3 linked regions of the Lepisosteus oculatus genome follow. The main gene of each other region encodes a partner of the protein of the gene in region 3 in a complex. Links are inferred from orthologs where the notes say so. Each region holds a gene or a part of one and is shown on either strand. Other genes may lie near its edges.

What was found.
Region 1: the proteins of nfs1 (region 3) and iscua are in contact, whole or in part, in a crystal structure (PDB 6W1D), measured with the Homo sapiens proteins. The link is inferred for Lepisosteus oculatus from reciprocal best matches to the Homo sapiens genes NFS1 and ISCU. Residues at the interface, in NP_066923.3 of Homo sapiens: Tyr360, Val361, Glu362, Glu364, Ser365, Leu367, Met368, Ala369, Lys371, Glu399, Asp400, His403, Ser404, His429, Arg432, Leu433, Glu435, Met436, Ser437, Pro438, Leu439, Glu441, Met442, Trp454, Thr455; in NP_998760.1 of Homo sapiens: Tyr35, Val40, His42, Tyr43, Glu44, Val49, Gly50, Ser51, Leu63, Val64, Gly65, Ala66, Pro67, Ala68, Cys69, Gly70, Val72, Lys74, Phe90, Lys91, Thr92, Phe93, Gly94, Cys95, Gly96, Ile99, Lys135.
Region 2: the proteins of nfs1 (region 3) and lyrm4 are in contact, whole or in part, in a crystal structure (PDB 6W1D), measured with the Homo sapiens proteins. The link is inferred for Lepisosteus oculatus from reciprocal best matches to the Homo sapiens genes NFS1 and LYRM4. Residues at the interface, in NP_066923.3 of Homo sapiens: Leu56, Arg57, Pro58, Leu59, Pro68, Leu69, Pro71, Arg72, Leu74, Asp75, Leu78, Glu314, Tyr317, Arg321, Asp372, Arg412, Phe413, Thr414, Thr415, Glu417, Glu418, Tyr421; in NP_065141.3 of Homo sapiens: Phe23, Tyr26, Asn27, Tyr28, Thr30, Tyr31, Arg34, Arg35, Asp38, Val65, Arg68, Gln69, Ile72, Thr78, Asp79, Lys80, Leu81, Ile82, Ile83, Asn85.

What each region holds. Positions count from the first base shown.
Region 1 is NC_090717.1:6,281,944-6,291,995, reverse strand, and holds iscua (iron-sulfur cluster assembly enzyme ISCU), read left to right. Parts: upstream 1-5,109; 5' UTR 5,110-5,188; coding exon 5,189-5,287; intron 5,288-7,962; coding exon 7,963-8,076; intron 8,077-8,437; coding exon 8,438-8,548; intron 8,549-8,633; coding exon 8,634-8,712; intron 8,713-9,052; coding exon 9,053-9,141; 3' UTR 9,142-9,737; downstream 9,738-10,052. Other genes in the region: sart3 (squamous cell carcinoma antigen recognized by T-cells 3), read right to left, coding at 496-680, 1,036-1,140, 1,689-1,815, 3,893-4,078; leucine-rich repeat transmembrane protein FLRT1-like, read right to left, coding at 10,023-10,052.
Region 2 is NC_090701.1:18,438,347-18,449,018, reverse strand, and holds the start of lyrm4 (LYR motif-containing protein 4), read right to left. Parts: upstream 4,741-10,672; 5' UTR 4,714-4,740; coding exon 4,628-4,713; intron 1-4,627.
Region 3 is NC_090711.1:2,605,344-2,615,469, reverse strand, and holds the start of nfs1 (cysteine desulfurase), read right to left. Parts: upstream 5,209-10,126; 5' UTR 4,959-5,208; coding exon 4,847-4,958; intron 4,370-4,846; coding exon 4,293-4,369; intron 3,804-4,292; coding exon 3,687-3,803; intron 3,395-3,686; coding exon 3,311-3,394; intron 2,808-3,310; coding exon 2,655-2,807; intron 2,288-2,654; coding exon 2,194-2,287; intron 2,078-2,193; coding exon 1,943-2,077; intron 1,154-1,942; coding exon 996-1,153; intron 680-995; coding exon 574-679; intron 1-573. Other genes in the region: pyruvate dehydrogenase [acetyl-transferring]-phosphatase 1, mitochondrial, read left to right, coding at 7,270-8,820.

The sequences.
Region 1 (10,052 bases), on a different chromosome or scaffold from region 3:
GGCTCCAGGTGCAAAGGAATGAGCTCTTCGTGAAGTACTCGCAGACCAGGTGGACACAATACTTACTGGAGTGTGCGTATACAAGCTCTGTGCCGCAGATGAGCACATAATGTACTTGACACACTTCCACATTCAAATTGCCATTGATCATTTCCAACTCAGTCCAGGAGAGCCCCAGTTCAGTGGGTTTTATAACTAAACATGAAATCACTCATTTCTAAACACTTACATCAATTTCCTTTGCAGGTGATTTGTTAAACTATGCCATTTTAAAATAATATGAAACGGAAGACTATGCCTCAAAGAACAGGGTTCCTTTAATTGAGCACATTTTTACTTCCTAATATAGTCATTTACAAGGGCTCTTATTTTTTAGAAATGTGATTAAGAGCGACCTGTAAGACTTAGTGGATTGGTCTCTCCACAAGCCTGGTTGGAGACCACTGATTTCAGGACCAGGACTGGAGAGGCACCACTCTGCCCGGCGTGCCTTACCTGTACAGTTCCCAGGATAGCGTTCTCAAACTCTCTGAACGCCTCCCACACGGCCGTCCCTTTAGTCATGTGCAAGCCCACAGCTGTCAGGGCTCTTTCAAAGATCTCTCGCACTTTCTGTATCCCACCCTGAGTCCCGATCCCCCCAATGGAATACTGAGCGTATTCCAGCCAGATCTCGGGGCCTGCATTCCAAAACAACATGGCAGGAAATTAAAGAGTCCTGATGAATAATCAGTTACAACAGTGCTGGAGACATAACCTATTAGCATCTTTTTTTGGTAAATGAATAAATGTCGTTGAGCCTAAAAGTATTTCTGGTTTGACATATCTTTTGGTGGTTAAAAAGTGATAGTTTTGCAATTCACAAAATTCACATGAATTTAATAAAGCACCTTAACATCACTCAAGGAACACAAAGACAAAGAGCAACATATAAAGGAGATGGCAGGGCTTAATTTGGTATGCAAAATAAGAATGGGTCAAGCACAATCGAGCCCAGATTTTTAATAAATTGTAAAAGAAAACAGTCTTACTTACAGATGTAATCCTTGACTGCCTTCTCAAAGAGCTCATACACTTTCTCCCGATCAGAATCTTGATCTGCCATGCGTATTTCATCTTTCAGCCAGTCCAACCAGATCTCTATGTAGAAATGCATGAGACAAAATACTTAAATTTATCCACAGAAAATACAGGTATTTCCTTTACTTTTGTACAAACAAATCACTGCACGGGACTGAGGCAGTCTGTCTCAACTATCCATCTACAAGTACAAGGTGCAAAAGATCTGAACCGAGCGCTTGCAGGGACTGCGAGGGTAAGACAGGGTTAATATGCATTTTTACCTAGGGAAAAGATGATGCTCAAATTTTGCTCGTTTTCCCCTTTTCACGCAATTTAGGTCTTTATTGAAAGAATGAAAACCGACATGAATATTAAAAAAAAGCTTCACTTCCATTTTTGCAGCTCCATTTCAAACACTTGCATGTACTGGAAGTGACAGACAGCTACTGTCCTATGGGACCATGTTCGTGATCGAGATCAGTCAGACTGGTGAATCAATGGACTCCAATGTGTACAATACACAGATTGGCTCATATGTTTCTAAAGCCTGTAATCTCAGTATCTGAAAGGGGTGTTTAAAGGCAGGTTAACGAATAAGCGCAGTGAAAGAAAACATGGCCACCCACCTTCCGTGAGAGGGAAGAGTTCGCTCATCTTCTGTCGCGCTCTGTGCAGACGCACCAGCTCCCCCTCCTGGCGGAGCAGTTTAATCAGGTCCACATGGCAATTATAGTCGAAGGCGTTGATGGACAGCTGTTGGGCAAGAGCACATCACAGGTGAGCAAGCAAAGCCCAGTCCACCCAAAAACAAGACAGTGTCCAGTACTTTATACAGAGTGGGGAACAAGAGGGCCATAAACTACTAGGTCTTCTCACCGAATAACACAGAAAACTCACTGCAACTTCGGTTTTACCGGCCCATCACCACAATCTGGTAAAGTCACAGCTACCCAGAAAACAACACCCTAGAAGACAGGATGTCAGTCCCATCTCGAGACACTCACACTCACACACCTATTGAGCACATGTCTAGAAACACCCTGTGAAATCCTACACAAGAAGAACATACAAACAGCTCAGGAGCTGCCCCTGTCCAGAATCAAAGCCAGGGTTCAAGAGCTGCGAGGCACCAATGCTTACTGCCACACCTAGCTTAAAAGCACAGCCAATATTTCCTCTAGGCTTCTAAGCCCATTTGCCACACAAAACACATCCCAGTAAAGAAATGTTTTAATTAATGAATGAGCAACCCCCCCATCTAAATATCCATTTTACACCACCTGTCTTTTTTTTACTTAAATGACATGCATTGTGAAAATGGTTGCAGCTGTGGCAATAGGACACTTTAAAGTTGATCTTGTGGTCTTTATCACACATAGCACACAGGGCATTTCAAACAGGTCTTTTGTAAGAGGAAAGCAGAAAAGAAGACCATGAAGCTTATTTCTTTGAAGCAATACTTTGTCTTACTAGTCTTTCGTCAAAAGATTAAAGATTGGCTATATGTAAGGGAGCTGAAACGCTGTCTTCTTCCCAAGCCAGTTATCAGCTAACACAGGCATGTGAAAACAGATTTCTGTTTCTCCACTCTCAGACAATACCTTCCCTGCCACCAAGTAAATGGAGCCCATTATTTAGCCTTATACATAATTTATCATTATAACATGCAACCTTATGCAGCATGTCATTCTCATTATAATTTATACAATGTACACATTCAAGACTAGAAAGATCATATTTGCTAAGGATTTAAAGTCCATTTGGCTACATTTAATTAACCTCTGTGCTATGATCCCCGCTCTTGTGTGACGACTTTCCTCTTTAGCTCTTAATTGCCTTCCATTGCTTTCACCCATAAAATATTTCACCGCATAACGACTCTCTGCGCCTGTTTCTTTCCCTGGCTTGTTTTTCCGATTACAGACACCCTGGACAAGAGCGAGAACAGGGGTAAGGGTTAATGGTAGCACAAGTTTCACACCCGGTAAAAGGATGACGGCCAGTATCCTTATGTTAATCAAACGCTAAAAGAGAGCTAAAAAGATCGATTTTAAGGATTAAACGCAACGACTCGTCAATTGTATTTCAGTAATGTCACTGCTAGCAGTGTCGGGCATAAACAGTACAGTACTTGCAAGTCAGTAAAAACGGGGTTTTATCGGGGAATCGTCACGTGAGGTTAACCTATATCTAGAGGGGCACACGATCGTTACTGACTTCTGGGCTTCCGCTGGGAGCTCAGAGGACGACAGAAATAAACCCCGCTTCTCTAATCATGCAAACCCGCCGCACACCAGCATTTACAACAGCCTCCTGCACCATTCGGCAAATCTGCGCAGCACGCCGGGCGATGCAATGTGTCAAAACCGAGGGGTTACGTACGTACACACAGTTTAATTACATTCGTATTAAAGTGCACAACCTCCGAAGTGAAGCAACGGTGATTGTGAAGTGTAGCTAGCTAGCTCTGCGTTTCGGTAAGTACGTTGCTTTCACCTGCATACGGTGCGCCTGCTTGCTAAATGAATGGGCGTCGGAAAGGACTAGATAGCGCAGTAATTTAAATCCCCAGGCGTGTATGAATATGCAGCTATAAAATACATTTTTTTTCATTAGCGGTCCAATTGCGTTTTCTCAACTGATATGCCTTTTGCCGTTTCCACGGCCTGCATTCGCCTAGAGCTCGTAATTTTTTTTGTGCAGTTAGGACTTTAGAAGGAAAATATTACTGCTGGGCTGCAGTTTAATTAAACACCATTTGCTAAGTGAATCATTCCATGTCGGTGGTGCACTTGCAATATCGTCCAGCCCCATTCATTCATTTCCTTACTTGTTCCTCCAAGCGCTGGATTTCAGCCTCGTTTTCCTTCTCATCGTCCGAGGAGTCTCCCTCCTCCTCATCGGACCCTTCGACTCCCATGCCTTCCTCTTCTGACTCCATCTCCCTCTCTCCGCCGGCCGCTTCTTCCTCCATGTCTTGCAACTGCGTCTCCTCTTCGCTCCCCGTCGCCGCCATGTTGGGACTCGATCTGCCTGGTAACAGCGGTGAGCTGCCCAAGACACCGCCCGGCCCCACGAAAAAAATCACAAGGCGGAAAAATATACAACGCAGCTCAATGAAAGCGCGTCGACCTCCTTCATAAATTAACGGTGGGAAAGGGCAGTCAATCGCGATACGATTTATACGTATAATTTCACTTGAGTCGACTCGGATGTTCAGGCGATTTCACAGGTGTTCAGACGCACTTTTTCCTCAGGACCTTCAGTCACAAGGGACCAGCAGCGCTTGCAGTGAACCACGTGATTCTATTAATGCAGCGGAGGGCCATGTTTCATAGGGTCTTCGAGTAATGATAGAGTGTTACCGTAGTAATAGTTAAAAAATTCCCACCCCCTACGAATAACAGAGTGAATAAATATACACCAGACAACTACATCATTATGTTTCATTTTACACGTAAATATTTTTCCATTCAACCATTTACCGGGCAACCTTGAATTTTCAGTAACGGCTTCGTCCAATACACGGTCAATTAATACAGCATTAATAAAATATATATTTTTTTAAGTACGGTATGTGGAGTTCGGACTTTTATTAAGATACAGACGAAAGTGCAGTTGTCACTGTCCCTCAGTATCCCAGTTTTCTTGCACGTTAAGTTAAGGTTGTGTAAGCCTACTGTTTCATAAGCTTTTGAGCATTTCCTCCTGCTGTGTTGATTTTTCTTTACAATAAAACGGATTGGCAGATGGGAAAGAATAGGTGTACCCCTCTTTTATTTTTCAAAAATTTAATGCAGCATAAAATAATACAAAAAAGTGGAGAAACGGCCTCCAAAAAGACGGGAACAAATCAGAACGCTGCCAAGAGTTCATTACGAATCCGAACAGAATCGGTTACAAAATGAATATCCGTCAATGGTGTTGGTGCGTTCGTGATGTTTCGAATGTAATTGCTTAGGTAATATTGCATGAAAGAAATGTCCTTTGCAAAACGTGTGGGAGGAGGGGGGGGGGGGGTATTAGACGCAACTCCTCCCCCCGTTACGCACGCGAGCAGGAAGGTGCTTATGCGCTCGCTCCGGCTGCCTCGGGACAGTTGCTGTCTCGCATCCTCGCTGGAAAGATGGCGGTGGCGATGGTGAAGCGGTGTTGCTCCCCGCTGTTTTTCTTCAGAAGGCTTTCGGCGCCGGAACTCACCGTGTCGTTGCCTTATCACAAAAAGGTATCGTGGAAACAGGGCCGTCTTTCACCGCTGCCGTCCGGGTGTCTGCATTCTCACCGTTTGCGTTCCCGACTCTTTTTTTATGTCGTGCGTATGTCGTAATGGGATACCTACAGGGGGCGTTCCTTGCTGGTGTAACTTTTAACTGCGTTTTAGAAAAACACACGCTTTCGACAACGACACCTACAAAAAGAAGCAGCTGTGGGAATTGGCCATCCGATTCCAGGTGGAGTTTAAAACCCCTGTTTTGTAACGTTGTTTTTAATGTCACCTCGTGTGACGGCATCGGGTCGGGTCATGTTTTGCCTGTAACGACACGGCGGTGAACCCCTCCGTGTCTTCTGTATTTGATAAGCGACACTGTTGCCTTTAGAATTTTTCAAGACGTAAAACGTTTCAAGGCGTTTTTTAATCTTATGCTTGGACTGAATCATGCAATACGGCGCGCTGTTATGCTGTCATTAATGCCGCTATGCGCGTAGCGGCGAGACGACTGTAGTGACGTAAACGCAATACGGATGACTTGTTCTATTCTGCAGTTTTTCGAAAACTTGAACCGCTTTGATCCAGTCAACAGTTAAACCAATTTGTGTTTGAGAGAACGGTATTGTAAGTACTTTCAGCGGGCATCGAGCTGTCTCCTACAATACCCCGCTCGCTAACTAATTAACTGACGAGAGAAGATAGTGCTTTTCCCTACGTGTGTGTTTGGGGCATGCATTATCAAGTTCCTTTATGTAAATGGAATGGATGGTTTTAAGACCTTCTTTATCATTAATAATTCCTTACATTTAGAACTTGTCAACCACAATGAACATGAGGGGACTTACTTCATACATCACTGTGGGTGTGCAGTGTCCATGTGGATCAAGTGCAGCAGCCATTCTGCACGAACATCTCCACTGTACTGTAGATCAGATGGAGGATCAGAGATGCTTCACCCGTTGAATGAGACATTAAACTAATTAATTCAAAGACTGGCACTTTCTGTTGTGCATTTTGCACCCTTGGTCACAAGAGCACCACCTACTGGTCCACCAACACCACTTACAGGAGCAACCCAGTTTTTCCTCAGAGGCTTACTGTACTCTGGTTCCGGTACTGACCAAGTCTAGCCTTGCTTAGCTTCTGAGATCAGACAAGATCAGGCTCCGAGGTTGTGTCACAACAGCACATTTAAGTACCCGCTACACTTGTGAGAAGAAATCTGGGTCACTTAAATGTTTATACCATGCTTAGAGCTAAGCTGTTTTTGTCCTGGCTAGCATTAACCCACCTTTTGTCTGTCACTGACATGGTGGTGATTTCTGCTTGGCAGAGTGAAGATGAACAGCCTTGTCTGGATTACAGTGCGTGGTAAAATGGGCATTTGCATTAAGTTGTTAAGCCCCTTGGGTAAGCGTTCCCAGACATGACCTGAGTTATGTGATCTTCCTTTGCAGGGTACAAAAGGTGATGGCACAAGAGATGAGTAACAACGTGTTTATCATCTGTCCTAATTTGCTGAAGCATGAACTTCGGAAACTGATTGCAAGCTTTATTCGGAGAGGAATGACACTCATTCAGAGTGTGCTTTTCAAGAACGATTCATGATTCACCTTTTTATTGCTTGTCTTGCCACAATATAATGATTAGACACACATGTTTTTCTTAGCGTTTGTTTGTGAGGCAGTATTGTCTGGACTGGGGTGGCATGATGGCGCAGTGGTTGGCATGGCTGCCTCAGAGTGCTGGGGCTCCTGGGTTGCTGTCTGTGTGGAGTTTGTACATTATGTTTTCCCCGTACTCACATGGGTTTCCTCCAGGTGCTCGGTCTCCTCCAACAGTCCCAACTCATACTGGTAGGTTAATTGGCTTCATCCAGGGAGTCTCCTGCCTTACTCCCTTGCTTGCTGGGACAGGCATCCGCTCCCCTTCAACCCTGTGCAGGTCAAAGTGGTTAGAAGATGGATGGATCATGTCCGGACTTGAGAATTTGAGAATGACCTAGAGATTTTTTAAAAATAGATTCAGATACTTGGGATGAGACGGGGACCCAGACTTTTTTCACTCAGATTCGTGAATATCTAGTTTTATAAATGTTTTTTTTTTTTGAAAGCATAGATTATTGTAAACTATATGGCATTGGGGGGAAAAATTACCTGGGCCCAATTGCACTATAATGATCAGGTTGTGTGAAATGTTACCCACACAAGGTTTTCCTTTGCTGGTCACCATTAAAAATAGTTACCCTCAGTTTCACGCAGATGCCACATTTTACAGGAATCATAATCTTGTGTTCAGCTTTGTCTGTAATCTATTAAAGCCCCATTAGCTTCATCAGTAAACCTTAACCTGCTGTTTGATGTGCAAATTACAATGCTCGACTATAAACCTGCGGCCTTATTAATAGAGTATATCCAGTGTCCATCCACCCCCCGAGAGTGTGACTCGGTGCTGCCCAGAATACTCTATTGTAGGGAGGGGATGAGGATCAGGTGCTTAAACGTACGATTGACAAGATAATCAGCCTGTTTTTCAGTAGATCAGTCTGTTCTGGTTTTTGTTTTGGAAGGTGGTGGGACTCCTCTTACTTTTTTTTTTAAATGGTGTCCTTTAAAGTCTTCCACCCATGGGGTCACGATTGCAATAAAGACATAGAAGAATAAATCAGGGACATTTTTGTTTCTTTAAAGGTGGTGGATCATTATGAGAACCCCAGGAACGTGGGCTCCCTCGACAAGAATGCAAAGAACGTTGGCACTGGACTAGTGGGAGCGCCCGCATGTGGCGATGTCATGAAATTACAAGTAAGTTAGCTGTGCAGTTACCTGTGCATGATACACCCTTTACATTCCTGTTCTACTGTGATTGCCACATTTGCTATGATAATGTGACCTTAACTGAATACAGCTACCATCCAATTATATTTAACACGTACTTTGTCAGGATAGATACAAAAAGTGTTATGTGCTTAGCTTTTGAAGCTTTAAAGCGAACTGTTCTTGGTATCCATGGCCATTACCAGATGAGCTTGCGACTCCCATGAGACTTGCGCTCGTATGGGATGTTTGCAGTAGAGAACAACTAAATTAAGCTCACGTTTTGGATGAGAAGTATTCACAGTTTTTAGTAAACCCTGACCTTGAATTTGGCCCCGTGTCTTTGCAGATTGAAGTGGATGAGCAGGGGAAGATTGTTGATGCCAGATTTAAAACGTTTGGCTGTGGGTCGGCAATTGCATCCAGTTCTTTGGCAACAGAGTGGGTTAAGGGCAAATCGGTAGGTAACTTTTTACACGATTATTTTTGGAACATTTATCTTATTTGCAAGGATTTAATCACTGAATTTGCTCTTTTCTTTGCAGATTGACGAAGCCCTTAAAATCAAGAACACTGAAATTGCCAAAGAACTTAGCCTTCCTCCTGTCAAACTGCATTGCTCAAGTAAGTTAATGCACTATTGTTTCCAATCTGTTTTCAGCACAAGACCCTATCACCATCTTTTCATTCATCTCCTAAAATTGCTAAAAAATGTAAATTATCAGCTGTAACGGTGGGGTTTTAGGACTGATTTCCCATACTCATGTTAGTATTGGTCCAGGACTGCTAATGTAGATTGTTAGATGGACCCTGTTTAGCATTAGTCTTGGACTAAGAAACAAATGCATTGACTTATGAACCTATCAGTGTCCATTCTTTTTAGAGCACCTAACATCTAACAGTGTTGCCTTTATTGAAAGTATTGACCATGACAAGTCTAACAGTTTTTTCTTTGTTTTGCCAGTGCTTGCTGAAGATGCTATTAAAGCTGCTTTAGCTGACTATAGACTGAAACAGCAAGACAACGATAAAACAGCACACGCCAGTAATTAGACGGGCGCCATCTACACCATTCAAGACAGAGAGTTCTCATTCCAGCATTCAAGCGTTGCAATGTCTACAAAGGCGAAGAAAACAGCAAGTTTTACACAATCACTCTAGACTGGAACGCACAATGTAATATAGCTTCTTTGGTGATTGATGTGAAGTAAAAGCCTTATCTGTCAGGAAGATTGCATAGCTGTTTTTTTATTATACTTGTTTTGCAGCCATTTGTTTTTTTCTGATTTGTATCTTATTGTATGGATTAGTTTTCTGTTTAAACATTTTGAAAACTGATAGTGGCATTATAATGCGCACACACAAGAAACAGGTGGAGTGATACCAACATGATAAAAATATATGAAGCCCTACCAAGACCTGCAGGACATACCTGGAATTATTTTGCATCTTCATTAGTAACACAAATGTGTCTGTAACGGGAAAGAAGAAAACTGCATCCAGCATTCACATTTTATACCATGTTTATTTGCTGTGTATAAATTGGCAGTGCAGTTCTGTGTTGGCTAAATGGTTGTAAAATGCATCTCTTTACAGTATGTATATAATACAGTGTGCAGTCTGTATAATAAAAACAACATTCAAAATGGCTTACTGTATGATAACTAATGGTCAAAAATACTTATTTGTTACATTGGGAGGTTGGGGAAAAATGCTGTTCACTACGGCTGTAGTCTCATTAGTGTGACCTTTTGAGGAGAGGGAATTCTTAAACGTTTTTAGCAAAATAACATTTGGCAGATTTCTGTGCTCCTTTTTGGTGAAACAACCTGCCAGCTAAATTGGTACAATACCATTAGCATCAAGTGATCGTTCGGTTTGCATTAGACATTGCTTGGACCCATGGAAAAGCATGCCAGAGCGGCTATCTTGTTTTAAGACTGTTCGATAGGAGCCACCCTCCG
Region 2 (10,672 bases), on a different chromosome or scaffold from region 3:
GATCTGAATGAGGTATCGTGCTAGCTGGTCTAGCTGGTATTTGAAGTAACAACGTTCCATTTACAAATCCAGAACCTTAACCATTACTCCACTGCTGAGAAGCAAAATAATTCAATGAATATCTAACACAGAGACGTTGAATGAATATTTGAATGAAGATGCATGTGCATATTGATTACAGGTGCTTTTAGTACTGAAAACAAGTAGTACGCCTTTACAAACAAGATGAACTGAAAAGCCTCCCCTTGTTTCATAAAGAATTGTCTAGGATGTCTAGGATGAAGCACCCAGCAAACTAGTGAGTGTGACTCTCCGAAAACAAGGTATCCTGGGGTATTTAAGGTATTTAAGTCAGCTTGCGGCAATCACACAAGCAAACCTGGCCGAATGATCTCTTTCTCTTTCATAGGGGTAAAACAAGACAGACCAAGCCAAATGAGAAAAATACTAACTTTTAGGGTTTGCATTTAGGGAAAATATGCATCTGGAACTGGGGAATGCACACATATTTGCACCAAATATTATTAGTCAGGATTAATGTTAAAAAAAACATTAAGTTCTCTCATTACATGTTATTATGCTGGCTTACTAGAGCTGCTTCATTTTCTAGAATGAACATGCTGCTCATGCAGCTGGACTGTTTTATATTTATTTCTGTGTAGATCAAAGGATTTTATTTAATTTTATGAAACACTAAAGGGGTTCTCAGTTGTGACAGGTGACAAATATTTTGACATTAAATGGTGAAAAATGAAAATTACTTCAGTTATACGATTTTGCATGTGAAAAACCATTTTTCAACTGTTTTCGCTTATTTCAGTTTTATTTCATTTAGTGCAATGTGCTCTACTGCATTTTGTTTCCCTGATTAAGACAGTTATTGTGCAAAAGAACAACAGCAATAGTTATTTTACTATGATCGTGATGAATCACTGATTACTTCATATGACTACTGAACTATTGTAAACACATTGTCCACCAAGATCCAACAATGTTAGACCTGGAATTGATCATATTTACAGTATAATGTAATAATAATGAAATAATAATAGTTGTATGGGCTACAGAATACAACATACAAATACTACATATGAAGGCTATGTAAGCTGTTTTATAGAACTACCCCCAACCTGGATGATGCGACGGCAGCCATAGTGTGCACAGTACGCTCACTAAACGTTAGCTATCAGTGGGGAGGAGAACAGAGTGAACAGAGTGAGGAAGCCAGTTCATAGATGGGGATTATTAACAGTATGAAGTATTAGAAGCTGACTGCAGAACCTCAGTTTTACATCTCACCCGAAGGACGGCACCTTCTTACAGTATAGTGTCCCTGTCACTATACTGGGGCATTAGGACCCAGACAGACCGCAGAGTGAGCGCCCCCTGCCGGCACCACTAACACCTCTTCCAGCAGCAACCTTAGTTTTTCCCAGGAGGTCTCCCATCCAGGTACTGACCACACCAGATATTGCAGCCCTCCAATTCACAGTGTTTCAATGCAATAGCCACCCAATGTACCTTGGCGCAGAACTTCCAACTAAAAGGTCCATAATCATCAAAATAAGGCAATTCAATTAGAATTCATTCACATAAGAAATAATTCTCAAAATTTTTCAAACAAAAGGATAGATATATATAGCACTGGCTGTCAAAAGCAAAGTGTTCTTCAATGTGAGTAAGGTACAAATGAGAGCAGAACTACAGCTTCTATTTTAAGCAGAAGGTATAATACTGATTATACAACTGTGGAGCAGAGAGTTCCTAATGCACACACATCTCGTGGGAAGGGGGCACATCACACTAGCTGTAGGTGGTGAGGAGTAAAGACCTCCCGTTTTGCTAGTGGCATTTGCTATCCTGCATCTTATGAAACAGCAAAAAACGTGATAAATAATACATTGTAATCAATGAGGGAAGGTAAATGCTGTGGGCCACCTCGGTGCTGGGCTCTGGCAGATGGTGAGCACTTTTAATTAGGATCTGTTCACTTGCAAAACTGTGCTAATAGGATCGGGCAAAAATGGAGCCATGCTGCTTTTCACAGTTGTGCCATACATCAAGCTCCGAGCTTCCACCTCAGGACAATTCCTACCCCTGGGATACAGTCCAAGGATGCCTTACTGCACATTCAATATCTTAACTATCAGGAAATGCCAAGCAGAGGAACTAGACTGTGAGCCTAGTGTTCCCAGTAAAGGATTGTGTTTTTACCACACATACTTTACAAAACTTTGTTTTTACATTATAATAACAACATTCAGCAGATGCATTGAATATAAACAAAACTTAGAGGGCCTAAAAAAATCAGGACCTGATTTTACTAAAAGGGCAGTCAGGACCTGAACTGGTAATCCCCAGATACAAAAAAATCTATTTCTTATCCACAGGAACATGAACTACTTTACAAATTACAACAACAATCGCATAAAGAATACGTTTTGAAAGTTAACAGAAATGTCAGAATGTTATATATACTGCATATTAAGCATTATATGCATTCCTACTGTATATTAATAATGCTGTACAAAACTAACGCAGATAGGATATTAAAAATTAACTTATGTGATAATTGTGAAACAATATTTCCTAGTCTTTCTAAAAATATATATATAAATGGATGCAAAAAGTGATAAATTGATGTGATTAAGTTATGAGTTAGAAAAAGTGAGAAGGGAGTTAAAATTTTTCGGATAAAAACAAGTAGAAAGAGAGTCGGGGAGGTTTTCAATTTTTCTTAATAGGTCCATGTCCGTCCAGTCCGCAAAATACATTATTAATGTTGGGATTATTATGGTGTTTTTCAAAACAAGATACTGTAAATTATAAATTGTGTAGCTGACTACATCTATCTCCAGTACTTTTACTTTTGTTTCAATAACATTAAACTACCAAAATTCAATCTGGAAAGCACAATGAGTAAATTGGGTACATGTCCTATACTGACAGGCTGAAGGAACTCAAGCCCTTTAGTCTTGAACAGAGAATCCTACAAGGAGATCTGATATACAGTATTCACAGTCCTAAAACGCAGTGACACAGCATCAATCCAGCGGATTGCTTCAGAATGAAAAGCAAGATAAAAACCAGAGGATACAAATGGAAATTATGTAGAAGCCCATTTAAAATTGTGAGCATGAGACACGTGGGGATGTGGGACTATGCAACAAGGTACCCAGCCATTTTGTGGAAGTTAACTGTTAGTTAATTGATCCAAGTATCTCATCCAGCCCTTTCTTGTTAACCTCAACACCATGGATGGGGAGCTAGCTGTTATTAATCTTTGTTTTTTAGTCCATTCAATCCAGTAACATTTTTACACAAAAATAGGCTGCAAGTTTAATTTCATTACTATAGTTTCAACAGTCTGTAAATGATCAATTGCCCATGGAATTCAAGTAAGAAAACGAACAGGGAAAATCTACATGTTTGCAATTTAGACAAAATTACTGTCTAAGCCAAGAACCACCATTATTGTGTTTCAAAGGCTTTTTAACAGCAGGATCTTTAAAGCGTATGATTTCTGCTACATAATTTATGGTTGTGCAAAACATGATTGTACATCACGTTCAGGGTTTGTGTAAGACTTGTTATAAATTAAGTGTTCGGTGCTGTAAGATATACTACTGAAATTTAGTACTAGTAATAGCAGTTTCTGTAGAGCCAAGTGAAATTTGTCTTCGCATTGTATTGTGTGTACTGACGCGATATACTGCGCTGTGCTGTTCGTGTCACAGGGTTTCTATCTAGCGGTTGGAGAAGCTGGAGAAAAACTTTTTTACTCTTCATGTACTTTAAAATCCTTTATACTTTATACTGTATACCTGCGCTCTCCAAGGCCTGTCATAGTAAAAAATCGTTACATAGATAATTAAAGGTGTCGAATTATGTGTTATTAATATAAACTGTTATGCCAATGTATCAAAACCTTTTACCTTTATCTCACAGCTTGTGTAACAACTCAGAGAAGAGAGGGCTTTGGCTTAAGCAAAAAACTATCAAATGCTGAAAACAGATCATTTTGTGTGTAGTTTTGGATAACATTTAATGCGACAACAGACTGCAATTAATTAAAATAGGTTTTGTAATTATAATAGTGTAATAGGTTTTACTTTATGCTATCACAGGTGCACAACAATGGACAAGGAATTAACTTTTTTCGATTCAAGTATTTCGGGATAATATTGTAATTAAGAAAATACAAATGATCACATTGTGCTCCGTAATTCTATAGGAATAAATACTTTATAAATCAGATCACTGCAGGAAAGAAAAGATACATTTATCCCTCTAATTGTGGATCGGGTTATTGTTTTCGAAAACTAAAACACATAACCAAAAGGTCATAGTTAATAAAGCAGGTTTTCATATCAACATCGCAAGTAAGGTACAAGTGCGGGTTATTCTCCGCTGGGACCAGAAGAGGACACAGATGTTGCTGCTAAATAATATCATTACTTCTATGTGCTATAAAAATGCAACCGTACTTTCAGATCCTATCTATAACCTGAAAGCTCTGTTACACTGCAATGACAACACTTGTATAACATGGCACAGCGTTAAATGAAGTGCCCGCTATGTGATTCATGCGATCACGAGTAATTAGCAATAAGCAGTGATCAAATACCTGTAGTTGTATGAAGGAAATTTACTGCTCTCCTTCATCAACAGCCTGTACAGAGAAAGCACCTGACTTCTGCTGGAGGCTGCCATCTTGGGAAAAAAACTGCGACCTACTCCTGCAAGGCCCGTAGGATAGTTTACTATCGAGGAGCCTCGATAGAAATCTTAATAATTGTGGACTGATTTCCCACAAATTGCTTTATGTAATAATACATATTTAATTAGTGTAATATTTATGTTATAATATTAATCTAATATTTAATTCCATTGTTTTAGTTTGATAAAAAAGTTCAAATTAAACAGGCAAATCAGGAACTGCTCAATAATAAAGTGTCAGGACTGGAGAGCGGAGAAGGTGAGTGTGAGTGAGTTTGTGTTGAGAGAGACGTTTGTTGTGTTTCATATAATCATCGTTTCTTAAAGCTCTGCCGGCTTTTAAAACATTTTTAAAACAATTAGTTTACGATTTGTGAGGCTAGTCAAACTTTATGTATTTTCAGGCGGATGAGATTTTTTTCCCATCCTGTTACACAATGTATCTTGAAACGTGATGTACGTGCTAAAAAATACAAATATTAAAAGTACATATACAGTAGTGCATATTATTTAATATGCATATGGACATCCATAAACTAAAATAAATTACAGAGTAGTGATACATATAACTTACAGTAAAATAAAGCTTTTTATGTATTTAATAGAAATGGGAAAAATGAACATGCGGTGTAGAAATGCAAGGTCAATTATGAATAAAGATCTTGGTGTAAAGGAAATACAGTTTTCGTGATAAAGTGGGTTTTGAAATTGAGACTGCAGGTGTTGTAACGTAGCAATGCGCTTGATAATACCGTAACGGCTACTGGAGAAGAAAGTGACGTAATATTTTCTACTACACTCATTTTATGTTGCTTGCCTTGAAAATGCGAAGCCTGTTGAAAAAAGAAATTACACGAGGGATATTTTTGGATCAGAAAGTCCCTAGGAGGGTAAGGTGGCCGCTGTCTTCTAGTTTAGAATAATGCCATTCCTTTAGCCGGGGATAATGTTCCTCAGTTTTATGTTAAAATTAATAATAATAATAATAATGTTGCTTTATTAGCCCAGTACAATTCCTGGCATTAGGAATTCGTCTTTTCGCATACCCCAGCTTGCTCTCCATGAGACACAGACAGGGAGAGAACCTTGGGGTCAGAGTGCAGGGCAGGGTCAGCCATTGTACAGCACCCCTGGAGCAGTTGGGGTTAAGGGCCTTGCTCAGGGGCCCAACAGGGTAGGATTCCTCTGCCGGCCACAGAATGCGAACTGGCAATTTTCCAGCCAAAGGAGCAGATCCTTAGCCACAGAGCCACCCCTCCGCAATCTCACAGTTGAGTATCCCGCATCGGTCTTTTCGGCCAGGACAGGAACTATTAAAATGATCGGAGTGGTTGAAATACTTAACAGGCGAATGCTGCACATTGGTGGTGGTGGAGGGGAGTCCCCATTACCTGTAAAGCGCTTTGAGTGGAGTGTCCAGAAAAGCGCTATATAAGTGTAAGCAATTTTTATATTATTATTAGCTGTTACTTACGTGGCTGTGGGTTGATGCAACTGCGCTCAGACTCCGAGATCAAAAACCACCAAAGTTAATATTTTTCAAAATATATAATGAGAAATAGAGAATTATTTAATAGCTGTAAAGACTATTTGTGTAAATAAAATATTAGTATCTCTGGAACTGGTTTTGAATTGCAGAATTCTGATTTGTGAACAGATGCAGGTAGATGCTGTATTATTTGCAGAGCTTCAGGTTTCCGTTTTTAACGGATACCTTTATTTAAATGCCATCAGTATTTATCCAATAAACGCTGAAACATCATAAAGCAGTGGTGTTTATGTTGCCGTCAGTCCTTTCCACGTATTGTATGAATTGCTTGTCCCTCTGCCTGATGTGCAAATTAATTTATGTTAGACCCAAACTCCGACAAATCTATACCACCTTTGCATAATTAGGCTTTTACGTAAAAGGATGTCATTCCTTGCATCTTCTATTACATTTCTAATCCCTTGTGTTTCTTTGTGCTAATTGTAACTTCTAACTTAGTTACTATTCATTTGTTGAAACTGTTTATTTATTTGCTTTTCCCTTAACTCGTCTAGAGAAGATACTTCTAAAGGTGCTATATAAACTAAAGTTTATTATTATACTTACATTTTAAAACTAACTGTTTTAAAATACTTATTGCAGAGGACAAATGCTTAATCACAAAAAATTCAAAAAGAGCGCACCTGATCACAGATTTCAATAACTAAAAGGAGGTACTTGTATTCCCAAATCAAGCTTTGGGCTGGGCGAGCTGCCTGCTGCAGTACTACTCTTCTATCTGACCTGTGAGAAGAGCATCCCTGCAAACTGGTGCCAAAGCCCAGAGGATGTGCTCCTAATTTAACACAGACAAAGCCAGTTTCACATGGACCTTCATTTTAGAATGCTGACTCCCCGGGTCTGCAGAGAGGTTCTGTATTGAGTTCATTCTGATGGTCTGACGAGAGTTGAACTTTCACATCGGCTACAAGAAATGCCTTCCCCTACTTCATTTACCAGCTTGCAGGCAATAGCGTTTCCTGCCTCAATTCCCAAACTGCTCCCGCCATCTTACCACAGTTTGTTTATCCATTGATCCATTTTCTATTCCGCTTATCCATTCCAGGGCTGCAGAGCTTTTTACACTACATACACATGCACACGCTCATAAAAGGGCCAAATTTACAAGAAGTCATTTAATCTACCATCTTGTCTTTGGACTGTGGGAGGAAAACAGAGCACATTGAGTAGATACAAATTATATGCAGATAGCACCTAGAAGCAATGTTGCGCCACCCTTTTTTGCCCCACTGACTGCAGGGACGGATTTTGGTGTTCGTAGGCCCTAGGCACTTTCTCTCCGAAGTGTGCAAAAACGTGACTAATGCCACTTGAATTATGTCTATTGACACAACGCACTTTCAACTATTCTAATGCTCAACCACGTGATTGATGGAGTGAGCCGAGTGATCATCACTTCGATACTTCTAGTTTCTAGAACAGCCGCTAGATAGCGTATGATCATTATTTGGAGCACCTAGAGTCGATCACAAGCTTGTTGTTTCAGCACATTTTTCATTAGTCACTAGTGTTTCCCTCCTACGTAGGCCCTAAAAATTCTGTAGGCCCTAGGCACTGTGCCTACAGAGATCTGGCACTGACTGCCTGGGATTAAATAGTAGTGTATATAGTAGTAGAACTGGAACACACTTGATGGTAATTGTATCCTTATAATATTATTGCTTGTGATTTATTATTGAATATTATGTGCTATGCTTAATGTCAGGAGTGTCTATTCCTGGTTCTTGCTTAGCTTAATAGGACAAGTTTAGCAACTGTACTGACACTTCACTTCAGATGTTCCTGCTTTACAGACACAATGGGTCGCCAGGACCAGAGGCTTGGACAGCCCTGAAATATGTTGTAAGAATTTGGTCCAGGGCTTAGAAGAGAAATTTCTCAAAATCTATCCTATACTGGAAAGTAAAGCAATGAAGAAATGTCCTCTCCTCATCACTCATGAGACAAAATATTTGGCTGGTCTCATCATGTTATATTAAAAATGCCAAAAGTCTACTGTCTTTATGATACATTAACCATCTTAAATATTCACTAGTAGTGAATGGATTTTGATGTTGCTTATGATGATGTCGGTAATGATGGTAAACTTAAAAAAACTTGTCATCAAAATAAAGCATTTTTAGAGAGAAAAAATCATGAATCATCAATCATCATTCTGCTGGTGGAGAGTCTTCACCAAATGAAAATTTGCACTGTAGGCAAATAACTCAACTTTATTTAAAAACAGCAAGTTTATTTCTATTTTTTTTTGTTTGTTTTAAGTATATTTTTTGACTGGAGGAGTAATTAGAATTGCAGCCTTGCAGTGCTGGGGCCTGGGTTTAGTTTGGGACCTGGTGTGCTCTCTGTGTGGAGTTCATATGTTCTCACCATGTTTGTGTGGGGTTTCCTCTGGGTGCTCTGGTGTACTCCCACAGTCCAACGACATATTTGTAGGTTAATTGGTTTCTGGGAAAATTGGCTCTGGTGTGTGTGTCTGTGTATCTGTCTGTCCAGCGATGGATTGGTGTGTCCCTTTTCGTGCCTGTTGCTTGTAGAGATAGACTCCAGCTCCCCCACAACCCTGAATTTGACAAAGCAGTTAGAAAATGGATGGATATTTTATTACATATGAATGTATTTTTGCCCTGTTTGAGGTGAAACGAAAGAAAAGGGGGAAGTTTTATAATATAGTAATTAAAGTTATTTAAAACAAACACATCCACATATAGCCCCCTAATTTATTTGTATTCTCAAGTATATGTACAAAGAGAAATAAGATCTTCAGTGAACAGAAGTTTGAGCTGTTAATCATTGTCATATTTGCCCCAATGAATTGGTTAAAAAAAAGTCCTACTGTATAATGAATGTATACATTATTTTGCCTCAACTTCCACAGCTTCATTTTATTTAAAGCAAACTAAGAAAACCTCTTATCTGGAGTCCCTTATGTATGCAGTAACCATAAATCTTCAACCCTCCAATGTCTCAAACCACATTCCAGTGTGAGCCTTACAGTATTGTCATCTTTATTAAGGCCAGACCATTTTTAAACTTTCTGAACCCAATACTGAAAGAAACACTGTAATTTGTAAAAAAATGTGATAAATACTGGAAACATTCAACTGCAGCTACTGTATATAAAGCTTTACAATGTTTGCATATACTCAGTCAAGTGAAAATGTTATTGTTTCATTCCTTAGTCAAGATGAGGAGTGATCAGATTTTAAAGTGAAAGACCTGAATGAAGTGACCTAAACTTGTCGATAAAAAAAAATAAACGTTACACCAGATTTGCTAAGCATTGGCAAAAGGAAGGGCAAAAAAAAATCATAGCGAATGAAAGTTTTACGGAAACCTCGGTAGATACTGTAGATCGTTGAAAAGATTGAGAAGTAATTGCAGATGGAGAGTTTAGTCAGATGTACCCTATCTGTATTATTACATTCATGCAAATGATGATTGTATGTTAAGTGCACTTTGTGCTTAAAGTTTGATAAAGGATGCACAGCTCAGCTTCATATGGTGTAGTGAACATTCCAACTACTGTAATCCAGTCACATAGTTTACTTTACCACTGTGAGTCACACAGAGTTGCTAAAGTATATAATTATTTTCAGATACAATAGATAATTCTCTATCACACTGCAGAGAACTTCAGATTCTTCTTTAACTCTCATAAATTGTGTATCAAATTGTGTTCTCTCATGCGGAGTGCAATGTACCACTGTGTCTTTTCTGACACACTATGCATGTATGAGTTTGTAGTTCTCAAATGCAGCCAAAAAAATGCATCCTCTCTTCTCCATCCTAAATAAAAAGCTCTATTGCAGGATATGCATGGCCATTTCTGCCTTCGATCTCTTCTCTGTTCTTGCTGAGCAGACCATAGTGCATGAGCTGAACATTTATTATTCTGCTCTTTACTTCAAGGTTAGAGCATAGTGTTGCAGGGCACCCAAGCCAAGTGTAAATGGCAGATTTCTGCTACAGATATGCAGACATGACTCGGAAGGACTGGGAGCAGACACAGCATATTGGTATTTAACCCTCTTACACTCACTTGTATTGTGTCTCAATGAAAATAGAATCAAGGGAGGGTTTTAAATAGGGAGTCTGAGGCTGCCACATGATGTACAGAACGCAAATCGCATTTCAAAATGACATACTATAGATTTCCTTGATTGTTTGAAGGGATGTGTGAACGATAATGTCCTGTCCAGGGTGTATCCTGCCTTGGGTCTATTGCTTGCCGATTCAGGCTACAGCTTCAGTATATTTCTATACTGGATATTGTAAATAGAGTGATGAAAAGAAATCACTTTAGTTGTGACATTTTATTTGAAGTCCTCAACATGACCAGTTGAAATCCCATAGTAATTGTCATTTGATCTTGATATTCTGACTGAGATACAGTTAGTACAT
Region 3 (10,126 bases):
CAGGGTGGTGGGGGAGCCGGAGCCCGTCTCAGCAAGCAGCAGGCACAAAGCAGAATACAACCTGGACGGGACGTCAGACCATTGCAGGGCAGACGGACAAACACAGACACGCACACTCACACCACAGCCAATTATCCCAGAAGCCTATTTACTTACCAGCATGTCTCTGGACTGTGGGAGGAAACCGGAGCACCCGGAGAAAACCACACAAACACAGACAGAACATACTAACTCCAGGCCGACAACACCCCAGGTCTGGAACTGAACCCAGGGCCCCAGGGCTGTGAGGCAGCAATGCTAACCACTATGCTACTGTGCCACTACCCATGATGATAAAATGGCCCATATCTGACAAGGGCATTTAAATACCCCAGCCCATACACGAATGTCAAACAGGGTAACTTGCAGGGGAGCCTGCCACCTCCTGCCCAGCAATGTGCTTTCGGAAACAGAGCAAAAGCCAGACATGGCGGGTTCATGTAAAACCCAGCCAGTATCATCACCGCCAATCACTGACGCTTCCGAACCCGCGGCGCAGCCCAGCGAATCTGACGACCGAGAGCGGCACATCACCTGGATACCTCTTCTCGGGATCTCCATTCATTACCACATCCGGGATTCCGGCCATGATTTTCCCGAGGAGACGGTCAGCCAGCATCGATATCCGCCTGTGATCGTACTGCAGGGAAGACAGGGTGAGCCTGAGAATCTTTTGCAGGTTCTGAGAAGATGGGGGGCAGGGAGACCAGCTGCACCATCTTTGCTGTAATCAAACCAATTAAAAAGTTCGCATCTACGGAGCTAAGCCTAAATGCAGAAAGCAGGATCAGCAGGTTTTCTAGGGCTCTTTAAATGCTCAACCGCCGAAGATCTTTGCAAACTGTTCATCCAGTCAAGTGCAGCAAATGATTAGCTCCTTAATTAGCTCATTCGGAGCAGAACCCTTCTGGTCCACGTGAGGAGCAGGCGTCTCTCTGCCCACACGGTCTCCGCACCTGCATTTCCTGCTGTGCTATCTCACAGGCGGCGCCAAGGCCCACGACGAGCGGGGTGGGCACCGTGCCAGAGCGCAGCCCCCTCTCCTGCCCCCCCCCACTCTGCAGGGGATCCAGTCGCACGCGGGGCCGCCGCCTCACGTACAGCGCCCCCACTCCTGCCAACAAGCGCAGAGAGAAAAAAGAAAACCTCGTCACCCACAGGGCTCCAGAAACACAGGGTATCGGAAGCTAGAGGACCTCAAAACACTTCAACCCTGTGCACCTAAACAAAATCCTCAGCGGGGGCCTGACATCTACGATCACAGCTTCTTGATAAAGACTTCCTCCAGCTGCTTCTTGTTGAGGATAATAATGAGCTAACAACTCTGCGGTAAACACGAAGGCCAGGACAAATACGATGCACCCCAGCCTAACTGTAGATGCATACAGCACTACGTTACTTATCAGAGCAGGGAGAATGTTCTTTGCAATGAGGGGGAACGGAAATGAAGGGCTTGACGTATGCTGCCTTGCTTCCCCACTGCTCACATTCAAATCAGCTGATCTCAACACAGACCCACGCCACCTTGCGCCCTGTGCTGGAACTGCAAGGGAGTGCGGAGTGTCCCATGCCACTTGTCCCAGTGCACGTCTTTTGCTCAGCCAGTTCCTTCTTTACTTAGCCTCTCATCAAGCAATTAAGTTGGCCGTCTTGCATTGGTGACAACAGGAATAGGGAACAGTTGTATAACAACCAATGCAATAGTAAATTGGTTTTGGTAAAACAATGGTATTAGCTACAGTAACTCCACCGTCTTCTGGTTTTCACTGCACCTTCATACGACTTGTACTCACCTACGCCTCATCTCAATAGACGTACTGTATATTCAGTTAATAAGGAAACTGCAGTTGACTCACATAGAACGGAAATTCAGAGGCACCACTTGTCTATAATCGTGCTTCACCTTTTGGACCATAGATCTTGTGACCACTGATTGACATCAGATCGACGTTCCACTCGTTGACGTTAACCGGGATCTTCCCCACGGCCTGAGCCGCATCCGTGTGGAAAAACACCTTTTTGGAACGGCAGACGCGACCTGATCCGGAACAGAACACAAAGTTCCTTTGAAAATGTAAACACGGCTACGAGAAAGATAAAAAAATAAAAAGCATGAAGCCAGCCCAACTGCAACAGGAGCACAGGGTCTCTCACCTATTTCTTTCACCGGCTGTTTCACCCCAATCTCGTTGTTGACCGTCATGACTGAAACCAGGCTGGTGTCAGGCCTGATGGTCTCTTCCAGTTGCTGACAAACAACACAAGGCAGATGAGCAAACTGAGAAGTGGGCAAGCACACCCATAATGCTGCTTAGACGTTTCAACCTGCTCAGTATTTTTAATCTAGTAAGAACTGAACAAACCTAAGTCCGGCCTAAGATTTAATTCAAAGCTGTAATTCAACCTGAAAGTCTGTAAACCCAAAAGGGTAACATTGTGGAGTATGGTTATGTAATGCACGTTTCCTGAATTATAGTCAATGAGTAAATATTGAATAAAAAAGCACTATGAGAATACCGAGATACACGCTGTAGGAAGCTCAAGATCTAAATAGTCAAATGAAAGCACATTCAGCTCCCCTTCTCCCAACGCACCGCTACAAACACAACACGCACCTCCAGATCAATGAGGCCGTTACTTTTTACAGGCAAGTACGTGACGTCGAACCCTTCGGCCTCCAGCGCTCGGCAGGAGTCCAGCACGCACTTGTGCTCCGTCTGCGTGGTGACGACATGTTTCTTCCTGGACTTGTAGAACCGCGCCACACCCTGCAGTCCGAGGGAACACCAGGAAAATCGCATTACGGGGGGACCCGGTGAAGGACAACCCTGGGTCATGAAAGGGAGGCCAACCTGCAGGCTTTGTCTGTCTCTTTATAGTCACCACCTGCTTGAAACTAGGACACAAGGCTGTGTGTGTTTCAAAGCAGCAATGAATGGGCTCAATTAGTGATCAGAGTGGTCAGAGAGGTCAGTGGGCATCATGGTCTCTCACTGCTGGTGTGAGACGCTCTATCGTTAAATGAGAAACATTCTGGTACAAGGGACAGGAAGGGAAAACGAGAATGGACGTCGGCCTTCTAGTATTCAATACAACATTATTATAATCGTAGCATGACCCTGCCCATTTAGTCTGTCCTTCTGCCCCTTAATGAGCCACACAGTCTTGACCATTAACTGAATGCACAGGTTGCACTTAATCAACACCATCGATTAAACACCAATCGGGTTACACACGAGAGGAGGCAACTTTCTGTTGCTGTGATGCGCACTTTGATTGACATGTTGTTGGACTCCGTTGCGCCGCTGGTGAACACGATCTCCCTGGGATCAGCCCCAATCAGGTCGGCCACTTGCTACACAGGGAAGACAGAAAAGCAGTACGGGGTCATGACGGAGGAAAAAAGAGAAGCGTACATTTACAGTTCTTTTCTAAATCAATACCTTCCCTGTGCTTTAAATTCAGATTGGAGCTGACTCAAAATCAGCACGCGACTTCTGAAGTTTAAGGTGTTTTTTTTTTGTTTGCCACTGCTGTAAATGCCCCAGTCCCGATCATCCCGAGACGCCTGAGCGGCACCTGCAGCGCGTCGGCTGCCGTCGCCCAGGCCCGGTGGATCGGAGGGGGAGCGCGCGCGCCGGGCTCACCTTTCTGGCCACCTCCACAGCCCTCTCGCTCTCCCAGCCATATGCATGCGTTCTGGAGTGAGGGTTGCCATAGTAATTCACCTGATAGGGCAACATGGCATCCAGCACGCGGGGGTCCTGCGGGGAAGAACGGACAACCGTGGGATCCTGGACATGAGTGGAGAGGGGCCCCGCCAATAAGAAGGTCGTGGGTGCGGATCCCCCTTGCTATGGCCACTGAAAGCAGGCACTTCACTACTGCTGCTGCCCCAGTACACGGTGAGGTTCCTCATCCCTCTGTTCTGTACCCTCTTCATTCAGCTGGAGCCTATCCCAGCAAGCAGGGGACAACAGTCCATCGCAGGACACACACACACTCACACCAGGGCCAATTTCCCCCAAAGCCAATTAACCCACCAGCATGACTTTGGACTGCAGGAGGAACCCCAGAGAAACACCCCCCCGTGCAAACATGCAAACTCCACACAGACAGCACCCAGGGGGCGAAAAGGAACCCAGGGCCCCTGAGCTGGAATGCCGCCATCCTGACCACTCCACCACACTGACCCCTGGGGCGGACACGACGTAATGAATGTCTGAATGTGGTAATTAACCGAGCCGACGTACCATCGGCGTGGTGGCTTGGAAATCCATGTACAACGGGCGCAGCTCATGTTTCTCCAGGTCTCTGCCCGTGAGGTTCTCTGCCAACAACAAACACATGTGAAGAGAACGACAAAGACAACTGCACGGGCGGAAGCAGGAATGTTTTTTATGTGAAAGGAAAGCTCCACAGGCGAAACGTCGTGTTTCACAGAAATAAACCTTTACTTCAGGTGGGTAGCTGCGTCAGCATGCGTAGGCTGCAAAGGAACAAGTAATAGGTTTATTCCATGCTGAAAAAGAAGAAAGAGAACACAACGTTTCGGCCGTGGAGCCTTCTTCAGGTGTGAGCCTTCTTCCTTACACCTGAAGAAGGCTCCACGGCCGAAACGTTGTGTTCTCTTCTTTTTTTCAGCATGGAATAAACCTATTACTTTTAAACCTTTACTTGTTCCTTTGCAGCCTACGCATGTTGACGCAGCTCCCTGCTTGGACATGTTTTTATGTGGTGCCGGCTACCCAACAAAACCTGTAAAACGGACTCAACAGCACTTATAGTATAATCCAAAAACTGTTACCTTTCTCCCGGTGGTTAGCATTCGACACGCTTTCGGAATAATTCCACGCACGACAGGGAAAACCACCCCTGCTGGCTCCAAAAATGTTTCTTAGCACAGTCCTGCTCAGCATCGTAACGCGAAAAACAACTTACGTTGTAACTCTCCACAATCGGTTCACTACAGTAAGGAGATTTCAACTAAACTCACATCCGTGGAAGACGAAAAGGGAAAGAACTGCGTTTGAGCAAAGTTGCGCTCTGAAGGGCAGACTGATACACCAAGCTGGGGAAATAACTTTCCTTACATCATCACAGACAAACACACTGTTACGCGCACACCCCTACCTACGCGAGTATACAACAGGAAGTGCACTTTGACCTTCAACTTCACACCGGAAGTGTTGTTGCTGAAGCCAAAACGGGGAAGAGAGCGCCACCGTCACGTGGAACTCTGCAGCTCAAGGTGCTGGGAGTTTTTGAGCGACACCTGTCCCGTCCAGTAGCGCCTCGATCGCCTAATAATCAGAAATAATTCGGTTATGTTTTTGTAAACACGTAGTTCTAGTTTATATTAATGTTTAATACCTTGATTGTTTTAATTACCACAATGGCTGTGTTTTTTTAAACGTGACGTCTACTACAAAAGCGTCTTCCTGCGTTTTTGTTCTGTGCATGATTAAAAGAGTGAGGTTTTCGTTTATGATGATAGTGTTGTACTTTTTATCTGCGGTTATACATGCTCTATAAATTGTGTGACATTTAAATAAACGCCACTGTATGTCATTTATTTTGTACGGGTAACTGAACAGTCTTGCATTAGATGAGGGGTTTTGTTGCGAACCCAGTATTGAATTCGCGACAGAACACACCTACGTGTTTATAAATAGCTTGTATCCATCAACAAGACTCCGTGTAATAATAATAATAATCCAGCGTTTCGTGCTGTTTGTGTTGCATGTTTCCATTCTTAACGACAAAACCGCTTTAGCCTTTAGCGTTGAAAACGGCGGGGACAAAGTCTCCAGGGCGTCTCCGGGGCTGTGCTGCCGCTGGACAGGTACAGAAGGAGGCGACAGGTTAAAATTTAACTCCACGGGAGAAGCGGCTTTATCGTGGCGTGCAATCCGGCTCGGGGCGCGCCGGGAGGAAAGATGGAGGGGCTCTTGCTCAGCAGCAACCGCAGACGGTAAACTTCGTCAGAGCGGAGGAGACCACGACCGGCGGTACGTCCAACCTTTCCAAATAACAGCCTAAATAATAACAAGAGAACGCTAACGGCAAACAGAAATCGTTTAAAGAAACGACTTTGTATTTCGATGTCACTGTGCTGCTTTGTCGCAGGATGGCAGGGTAGCGACCTGCTCTCTCTGCGCAGAGGGGGAAGGGGAGGCTGTCGGCACGGATTGTGTCGTCGCAGGTAGCTGCTGTGTTGTCCGACCTGTCATGCCGGCGGCCTCACTGTCGTTAATGCAGACTGTGCTTTGTCTGGCTCTTTTTTTTTCTGGATGTCGTGACGACTGGACGGGCAGAGCAGGCCGGTTCACCTTGAGTGTATGAAGGCCTTACAAAGGGAGGGACCTTACACCGAGGCCATCTGTACAGGTGGCAGGCTGACAGGTATCCGTGGCCCAAGAACCGTGCGTCGCTTTGTGAACGCTTTTGAGACAGTCCTGAAAATGTTAGTTGTAGTTATATATATATATTAAAGTTTTGTTTTTTATCTATGTGGCTTAAAAAAAAAACTAGCGGTATTGATGTGTGCAACACCTGCAGTTACAGGTAATGACGGTGATAGTTATTTAAGTGCATTTTAAAAACGAAGTCCACCTTTGAGTCCCTTTACAAATATGTTTTTAAAGGTAGGTTTAAAGCACAAAACTGTTTTTGAAGTGGTACTGAACAAATGTCACTCTTTGTGAACTACAGAAAAGAATTGGCTGTATATTGAAGTACAAGTGATTGAATACACCGATAAAATATTGGTGAGGATATTAAAAAAGAGACATTGTAAACATCTACGATCATATCCACGTAGCCCTCCTACGGTATAAATCTCCCTGCCTTTAAAACTGTTTGTTCCCTTGTCAAGTACACGTTGTGTAATAGCAGTTCTGCTGTACTGAAGTAAAATCAGTCAACACAAACCTGCGACTTTGCGTCTGGGACCGCGGTTTAGACGAGGAGAGAAGTATTTGTTGCTCTGTCCGGCGTCTTTTATCTTTCATCCGACTTCAGGATTGATTTGATGAAGCCGGAGCTCTGAGTTTGGAGGCTGAAATACGAGAGGCTTGAATACTGACAACTGTATACCGTTTCAAAAGAAAAGATTAAAAGAGCTGTAAGTTGCACCTGCTCTGTTGATACAGCCCGATTCCCTTAACTCTGTTTATTTCGAATGCAGGTCAAGGAGAGGAGTGTGTTTAACCGGAAGCTTCAAGGACCATGCTTTCTGCAAACTGTTTCCATCATCTCTCCGTCCACCGTCACAAGCTGGCGGCAGCGCGCCGGCTGAGATCGCTGAGCGCGGCCGTGTGGCCCCACCCGGGGCCGCCTCCTCGCCGCTACCCCCCCGCGGAGACCCCGAGGAGGAAGTACAGAGCAGGAGCCCAGTCCGGCCCGATGGCGGCGTCCCAGATGAGCCACATCCTGAGGACGAACGAGTACAGCTTCGGGGTCCACGAGCTGGACGGCAGGAACGCCAGCCCGGTCCTGGGGTTCGACAGCAACCTCCTGCCCTCGAACGTGCCCAGCGAGGACCGCAGGAGCGCCGCCACCTGCCTGCAGAGCAGGGGGATGCTGTTCGGCGTCTTCGACGGGCACGCCGGCTACGCTTGCGCGCAGGCGGTCAGCGAGCGACTCTTCTACTACATAGCGGTGTCTCTGTTGCCGCTGAAGACGCTGATGGACATCGAGGAGGCGGTGGAGAACGAGCGGCCCGTGTTCCCCGTCTTGCAGTGGCACAAGCACCCCAACGACTACGTCAGCACGGACGCCGGGAAGCTGTACTTCAGCAGCCTGCGGACCTACTGGCAGGAGCTCATCGAGCTGCACGCCGGCGAGCACCACAAGGACATCGGCGCCGCCCTGGTGGGCGCCTTCCAGAGGCTGGACAGCGACATCTCGCTGGAAGCGCAAGTGGAGCTCGGGGACCCCCTCTCGCACTACACGCCCCTCAGGGTGGCGATCTCGGGGTGCACCGCCTGCGTCGCCCACGTGGACGGGCTGGACCTGCACATCGCCAACCTGGGGGACAGCCGGGCCGTGCTGGGGGTCCAGAACGGCAACGGCACCTGGTCCGCCTTGACCGTCAGCAACGATCACAACGCCCAGAACCCCGAGGAGCTGGAGAGGGTACGCCTGGAGCACCCGGCGACGGAGGAGAAGACCGTCGTCAAACACGACCGGCTGCTGGGGCTTCTCATGCCTTTCCGGGCTTTTGGGGACATCAAGTTCAAATGGAGCGGCGAGCTCCTGAGCAGGGTGCTCGACGCGCGCCCGGACATACTGTCTGCGAACGAATATGCCAGGATGCTCCCTGCAAACTACCACACCCCTCCCTATCTCACCGCAGAGCCGGAAGTCACGTCTCACAGGCTCCGGCCTCAAGACAAGTTCCTGGTCCTGGCCACGGACGGCCTGTGGGACCTGATGCACAGGCAGAATGTTGTTCAAGTGGTTGGGGAGCACTTAACGGGAATCCACTGGCAGAAGCCGGTTTCCGGGACCTCCTTCACCCTGGGACAGATGCACAGCTTACTGGCGGAAAGGAAATCCCGGGCCTCCACGGCTTTTGAAGACCACAACACCGCAACGCATCTGATACGCCACGCCCTGGGAAGCGACGGTTTTGGAGGTCTGGATCCTAGGCGCTTGTCCAGGATGCTCAGCCTGCCTCAGGAGTTGGCTAGGATGTACAGAGATGACATTACAGTTACTGTAATCCAGCTGAACACTCCCATCATTGAAGCACAGTGTAAAGCAGCTGCCTTGTAAATGCTGAGCTCCCACTACCATTTTATGTGGGAACAGTAAAATCGTTTTATAAAATTGACTGGGAACACGAACTCATCTCTCTGCATTGATATTCTTACAACATTTATCGTTACTGTTCAAAACAATACTTAGCTATAAACATTCACCTGGTAAATAAGCTAACAATTTGAAGACAATAGCAGTGTTACAGGGTTCAAATAGTAATGACAAGATGCTAGGGAAGGCAGTCACAGAGAAAGTGACCTTGCGCCATTATCAGAAAGTTGATTGTATAATTAAAAATATTAGGATTGAGACAACTAGTGGATCTCATTTAAAATGTATATTTCTGTGGTGCCTTCATGCCCAAAAGAGGCACTTCATTAAAAATGAAAATCTGGAATTATTAAAATTACTTTTAAAAATAGCTAGATAATATCCTATCAATTTGTTTAGCACCTAAATTAGCAAAATAGTTAAATATAGGATTTTCTGGATTTATTTCAGAAGGTTCCCGACTTCTCTGTATTTAGAACAGATGAGTGTAATTATGTTTCTAACCACATTCCAAATACTACACATTTTAAGTTCTTAACATCCACTGTTAATTTTAATGTACAATTATTGTATAGGGTTGAACAATTTGAATGCAACCCATTGGTCTGAACAAGACACATATGCACCTCTCATAAGAATTACCCATCACAAAAATCGGGTTATTCTTTTATTCATCAGTGTGAACTTTTGTCCGAGCTCTAGACTCCATTGGCAAATGACTAGTTTCTATAAAGCAACCCCCTTTATGTTATGGTTAAACGAAGCAGATGAAAAATTTCCAGGAAGGTATTCTTTACAAATTAAGTCCCACAGAAATACAAAATAAGCTTTTTTTTTTGGTCTGACCCAAACAGGGGTATTGGCACACTCATTTGTGGCCTACCTGAAATACTTTATGCAATGTCGAGGTATACCAACCTTTCTGAATTCATGTCTAAGGGCTTAAGTCTTGCAGGCAGATACAGCTCAAATGTTCAAATTAAAATTAATCAGGTAATACAGGTAACTTTAGGTGCTTCCCAAAAAATTCTAAAAAGGAGGCAGAATATCAGAGGACTCATCTCTGAAGATTTAAGACTAACTGGAAGAATGCCACCTATTCATAGTCTCTTCATAGTTGGCCTCTGCTAAGCCTCATTCTCCATTTAGGTGATCCCATATTTAAGCATTGCACAAAAATATCAGAACCAAAGGATGTTACAAAGATTGTAATCCTTGGGGGGGAAAAAAAAAACAAACTGCTGTGTATACTTTAAAGGAACTTTAATCA